2 linked regions of the Oryzias latipes genome follow. The protein of the gene in region 2 purifies or fractionates together with the protein of the main gene of each other region. This does not show direct contact. Links are inferred from orthologs where the notes say so. Each region holds a gene or a part of one and is shown on either strand. Other genes may lie near its edges. The genes, in order: lysine-specific demethylase 4B and fbxo22.

Region 1 (3,825 bases), on a different chromosome or scaffold from region 2:
TCTCCGACCTGAAAGGTGCATTCCGGCTTTGGGGCTAATAAGAACCCAGGAGGGTTGATGCATGTTCTGTCTTCTACATATGTGTCCAAATGTCTGGACCTTTATGGAGATTTTTGCATGTTTAGACATGTACACACAAACAAACGGATTTGGGAAGAGTTGGTTTTTAGAGTGGGTTTTACAGATCGGCTTCCTGTGAATTAAATTGGTTTTGTTAGCTTCATTTTATTTGCAGCATTAAAACGCACTAAAATAAATTAAAGATATCCAATCTAATGGATATCTTCTGTCGATATTTGTAAATAAAATATTAAATAGAGAAAATAATATAGAAGATAGTGTTGGCTTATTTTAAGACAATTTAAATAAAAAGTGATTTTTAAACCGAATAAAAAAAGAATCTAAACTAAACTATATGTGAATTTAAATGGACAGTCTTAAAGTCCCACTTCGATCATCTTTTGAACTATTTAAAGGTGCTTATATAATTTTTAGCCAAAATAAAATAAAAACAATGTCGTTTTCTAGAACAGTTTCAGCAAAGTGGCAGGAGTTCATTAAAAATTTGCCTTGAAGAAAAAAAAATCGGAGCTATCCATCTGTACAGTTTTAAGCCAGATGCCAACTTGGATGAAGAAAACGACGACGTACATGGATCAAATCTTCTGCAAGACGATGTATCAGAACGGAGCGGAGCAGGGAGCTTGTGGCCCTGCTCACTGTATTTTTCTACGGAACAAATATAATCTTTTTCTTTTGCATTTTTTTTGTCTGCTACTGGTGCACAACAGTTTGAATAAAGAAATACTTAGAAATGCAATTTTTAGCTTACTTTTTTTGTATATGTGCCTTCCATAGCTTTCCTGCTGCAGCTAATACTTACTGGCATGAACCTGCATTTCACAGGAGGTACAGCGCAGCAGTAGACTGGTGCCATCCTCCCTGATGTGGTGGTTGGTGGGGGGCGGCTCCGGGTTTCCTGCTCCGACACTGAAGCACATCTCTGGCACCAGAGGACGAGTCCAGCTGCCGTGACGGGGGAAGGGGGCGTTTGCGGCCTCATTCGCAACTGAGCCGTCTTTCTGCGGCTTGAGTGGTCACGGAGAACGACAAGAAAAGGCCTCAACAGGGCGGAACTTAAGACAAATGGGAAACTGCTGCAAGATCTGCGGTTTCTACCTTTGCGTAAGGACAGAAGAGGGAACAGACGGCACAGTGAGGTTGGAGTGCAGCCACAGCAGCATTGAAGGCCTTCTCTGCCAAGAAGTTGGGAGAGTGATTCTGCCATAGGTGCTCCTGCTTCTTCATGTCACTATCAAGGCGAATTTGAGAAGAAAGCTCTGTGGACAAAACAATACGCCAGTTAAGCCCCATATCTACAATTTGGAGTCATTCAAAATCTTAATTTCAGGAATCCATGTGGCCTTTGAAACACATCTATGCTTCGAATCTCCAGAGGAGCCCTGTCTAGAAATAGTGACAAAATGCACCGCTCCGGGAAAGTAACACCATCACTTCTGACATAATTGGATGAAGAACCAGAAGAGAATCAATAGTTTGTTTCAGGTACATCGACATGGCAGTGAAGCCTTCAAGTCACTGAAACACTGCTTCACTAAAGTCAGGGATATTTTTTCACAAGCTTCCCCTTAAAAAGTGGAGCGTGTTTTTCCTCCACCAGCCTTCCCCCTCTCCCCCATCCATCCTTCTGAAGGACAGGCCGAGTCTGGTCCCCGGCTGCCAACATAAAGTGACTTTGAAAGCAGGTAATTGGAAGTCATGATCTCCAGATCAATAAGTGTCAGTCAGAAAACAAAAAACGAAAAACACAGCGGGGAGAGACATCATCTTGATTTCACCCTCTACACTGTGATGGTCGAATCACCTGTTTGTTTTTTCCCTCCATATTATTCATTCAAAGGACAGCATAGAACATGTCTTATTATAGTAAAATGATAAACAGGACAAATGGAAATAAAAACTTTCAATTCCAATTTTTTTTTTATTTTACAACCAAAAACTAGTAATGTCACAAAAATGTTGTAAACGTCACATAAAGGGGGATACCTTTCTCACTGGCCGGGTCCTGCTTCACGACAGATGGAGGTGTTCGAGTGGGAGGCTTGCTCAGCGGGTGGCGCCGACTCTTCTTCACCTCTGTTGGCATTTTCATCTTAGAGAAGCTCGTCTGATAAAAGAGGTCATTTCCTGTTATTCTTTGGTTTTATGAAACACCTTTTACTTTATACAAATTTAACTTGAAGCAGCATGTTGAACAGCAAGACCAGTCAAGGACAAAGCCGGCAGAGCAAACAACCTGCTAGACCGGGAAATGTAATCTAATCAGCCCCCCCCCCCCCCTGAGCTGAGGACTCCTTGTCTTCAACAAAAAGATATTCTCTTCCAGAGTGTGAAAATGTTAAAGGCCGATGCTACTGTTCCCCCCTCTTGACCTCGGCATTCCTATGACTAGCGCGCTCTTTTGCAGCTGCGCTCGGATTGTAACACAGGGGGACACCCACCCTCCCACCCACTGAACCTTGTGTACCGTGTGAATATGTGCTTTTGTGTTCAATCGCTGCAGTTTTTGTCTTGTATCTACGCATTGTATCACAGTGTTTAGATGTGACTTTTTTTTGTCACCATTGCCCCTATACCCCCCCCCCCCATTTGCAACCTATCCACACCCATCCTAAGCAAGGCAGCAAATTTACTGCTGCAGCCTCAGTCAACTCTGAACTGTACATCTGTATTTCTTTTATGTCTGATCTCATTCGAGTTGCACTGGAATTAATATCCTATGTCAGTGTAAAAGCTGTGCAAACATGCATTCAAGCCATCTATCTATCTTATTCAGAAAAGTTTCAAGTATTTGTATCCAAAAAATTACAAGATCCAACTGAATTGTTATTTTTATGTGTTTGAATTGGTTTTAAAATAAAAAAGCTGTTGCGTTTTCCCTTGCAAGCCAAAAACATTAAAGTATAACTCATCTCTGGAGTCTCACCTGAGTCACATCCACTTTATTGTCTGCTGGGAAATCATTGATCATGTTGGCTGAATTCTTCATGGTCGATTTGGCGAACTCCTCAAAGACTTCTTCAAATCCAGACAAAGCATTAGAAGTCCTCTTCTGCTTTTTGTGCTTCTTTTTGTCAACATCATCTGTTCCGATCTGTAGTTGGACTTCTTGTCCTTGGGCTTTAAAACAAGAATTTGAAGTCATTACGGAGGATTTCTTAACTATATAGTCTGAACAAAAATATAATAACTACAGTCTCCTACGGTTAATATTGTTGTCACTGTCAGCAGCTGGAGTCTCTGCAGCTTTAGCAGCAGCCTCCTGCTCCTCCCGCTCCATGGCCTCCAGAGTCATCAGGGCCTCTCGAGCTAAACGCTCCTCCCTTTCCTTTTTGCGCTGAGCTTCACGTTCCTCCACCTGGCGCTGATACTCTGCAGCATTCAGAGAAATTCCCTCCTCTGCCAGGACCTTCACCTCCTCCAGCTTCAGACGACGTAACATTTTCATCTTTTGCATGGCTCTGGGGAGGCGCCGAGAGAGACGGTCAAAGAAAACTCAACATCACACACAAGAGCCTTTTAGAACACTAATCTAATGCTGCATTCCCACCGGACGTGATTCGCACTTCAGGTGTTGGGTTAAAACAACCTCCAACATCCTAACAACTCAAAAAAGAAAGAAAGACAAACGGACTAAGATACCTTTACGAGGAGAGCAACAGAGATTATACCCAGTTAACAATCTCTCTCCATTCCTGGCGCATATTCTGCTGCTCTTCGAGCAGCAAAGTTGATGTGCAAGTA
Region 2 (2,679 bases):
CGGCAATTGGCTTAAGCATTTGCCATTCACTAGGATTAACCAGTCGATGGTTAAAGCCCACATCAATCAATCTGAAGCTCTATCCCGTTTTTTAAAACAAGTGTAAACGCGGAATACTGACTGAGTAATTGGCTGAGGCTTCAGTGCGCGTAAAACGCAAAAAACGCGCATTTGCATTTCTGTTTTTGCGTGGATTGAGAGCACAGATTCCGGGAGGAGCTGGACTGAACGGTCTAAAAAGGAGCCAAAAATCAATATTGTTCATATCATAGAAGAGAAGGACTTTGGGATATCTAGAAAACTGCAAAAAAAAAAATGTAAATTCTTCACAAAAACATTGTCAGAATCTTTTTTTTAAATAATTTAAAGGTGTTTTTTTTACAGAGATGCAATTTTCGCATTAAAAAGTTAAAGCCCTAATTTGCATTTTTTAATAAAAGTAATTTACTTAGATTTAACAATGACATTACAAATATTAACAGTAAGCTGGCAAATTACAAACAAGAAAATGATCATTAGGAAGTTTATTTTTGTAAGGAAAAGGCTATTTGACACAATTCCAGGCAAGAAAGAAGTATGAAAGGAGAATCTAAACACAAACCTTATTAAAAACACAACCTGGATTGTTGTTTTTTAAAGAAAAACATTTTTGGAAGAAAAAAAAAAGCCAAAGTAAAATAACTTCTCCAAATTTTCTGAACCAAAACTGTTTATTATCAACAGCAACATGAAAAAAAGCCCAAGCATTTATAAATATAAGCAGCAAATTATTATCTGGAATGTGGACAGAGCACACTGGAAAGCTTCCCCCTGCAATCCTGCAACCGAAACCATGAATTCTAATCAGTTGGCTTGACATCTTTTATTGGGAGCATAAATGTATAAAATGCATTTGATATACATTCCCCTCTTAAATGTTTCCATGGGGCTGGGGCCTATCCCTGTGGTCACACAATACTGGGTACATTCTGGATGGTTTACCTACACACCCTTAAAAGGGTAGATGTGGGAAAACTGTTTAATGTAAAAGATGCATACGTTTACCCTGTTACTCGTTTCTTTTACTTACAATAAAAGTGCCTTTGAAGAATCAATAACCTTTACACATGCTTGAGAAATACGGCAACACATAAACTCACCTTTAAGGAAAAGGGAGTCCTGTCAATGCACGCTGAATGTCTGATATATTGCTAAAAAAAATTAAAATATCAAACAGTATTTTACACTCCAGAAAATCTGTTTTTAAACCTCCAAAGGGGAACTTCTCGGCTTTGAAGGTTCAAAATCCTCCATTATTAGTATGCATGTCGTTAAATTTCTTCTGCAAACTTTCAACTTTTAGCGGATCTATTGACCACTGCAAAGCTTTCAGCCCAGATGGACAAGGGTCATGACCGTGGTGTACTCGTGCTGGAGGGTGTCCATGTCTGTGTCGCAAAGCGTGTAATCATCTTTAATGATGCGATCGCAGCCGATCTCTCCGTTGCCGAAAAGGCCGAAGAGCGGCGTCTTGGGGAAGACTTTGCGAAAAGCGTCTGCCTCCACGTTAGGCTGATTTTTGTAGTAGTTTTGGCCTCTCCCAACACAAGCAAACATTAACCCCAGGGTATTTTTCTCTGGCATCTTGGCTGCGCTTAGACGCCGGATAGTGGCTTCCGCGGTCTTTGGGCAGCTCACATCTTGGTCCAGAAGCACAGACGCTCCCTGGACTTTAGGGCCACTCAGGGCCAGTCCCACTGCGCCGTATGCACCATCGCTGCAGCTACAGAGTGGGAGATGGCGGAAAGTAGCAGGAAATGAAAGCAGCTCTTTACGTAACAGTAGTTATTCATCTTTTTCAAAGGAATCTTGGTAATAAGTTCGCAACTCACCAGTGTCTGGGAGGAGAGAACACACCTTCCACAATCCCTCCTGCGATCAGAGCCTTGGTCTTGGCCAGCGGCTCCAGAACTTGATTCAGAAAACGAGCTCCTCCAGTTTTATAGACTTCGTAAAAAAATATCAGCACTACACGCAGCTCTGAGTTATCAACTAATCCTGGAAGTCAACAAGCAGATGTTTATTACAAGAACAGACACAGAGAGCTGCTGAAAGTATAGCCTTATTTTAGTGACTAACCTGCATCTTTAAGGGCCGTCGGGGAGATGGTCTTCTTGCAAAAATGGAAGGGCTTGATGTTTACGCCCTCTGTGCTGGGGAACATGACTGCAAAGCCAGCCTCTCCATCTTGGTACTCCTGAGGAGAGCCGGAGCAAGAGCCAGTAGGAGTCACTGCAGAAAAGCGACCAGAACGTCACATATGAGGGGGGAGTATGGGAGCTGGAGCTCACAGCCTGTTCAGAACTATTCTTCTCCATAGCTCAAGATCCGATGAATATTCACTTTTTGAAGAAAAAACAAAAAAACACACACACAGGAAGGAAGAACTGCTATGAAAATCAACATCTTTCAATTAAGAAAAAACAAAAGAGCAGAAAATGTGTGCAGTTACAACCGTTTTACTAATGCATCAACTTTCTGCTTTCTCATTTAAATGTGAGACACTACTGTCAGAGTTCACTACACAGAAATGTGTTTTTGATTCAAAATCTGAGAAGTTATTGGTCATAATATCACAAACCAATACTGATGGTAAAAAGCAAACTGTTCCAAAGAAATAAGATGATTGTCCTTAAAAGC

The links.
Region 1: the proteins of fbxo22 (region 2) and lysine-specific demethylase 4B purify together in Homo sapiens (affinity purification with western blotting; 3 studies listed by BioGRID, with this or other methods). This does not show direct contact. The link is inferred for Oryzias latipes from reciprocal best matches to the Homo sapiens genes FBXO22 and KDM4B.

The regions. Positions count from the first base shown.
Region 1 is NC_019862.2:10,434,893-10,438,717, reverse strand, and holds part of lysine-specific demethylase 4B, read right to left. Parts: intron 3,543-3,825; coding exon 3,286-3,542; intron 3,202-3,285; coding exon 3,008-3,201; intron 2,189-3,007; coding exon 2,068-2,188; intron 1,341-2,067; coding exon 1,180-1,340; intron 1,089-1,179; coding exon 884-1,088; intron 1-883. UniProt on the Homo sapiens protein: Histone demethylase that specifically demethylates 'Lys-9' of histone H3, thereby playing a role in histone code. Does not demethylate histone H3 'Lys-4', H3 'Lys-27', H3 'Lys-36' nor H4 'Lys-20'.
Region 2 is NC_019861.2:26,481,512-26,484,190, reverse strand, and holds the end of fbxo22 (F-box only protein 22), read right to left. Parts: intron 2,272-2,679; coding exon 2,119-2,271; intron 2,038-2,118; coding exon 1,872-2,037; intron 1,763-1,871; coding exon 1,369-1,762; 3' UTR 692-1,368; downstream 1-691. UniProt on the Homo sapiens protein: Substrate-recognition component of the SCF (SKP1-CUL1-F-box protein)-type E3 ubiquitin ligase complex that is implicated in the control of various cellular processes such as cell cycle control, transcriptional regulation, DNA damage repair, and apoptosis.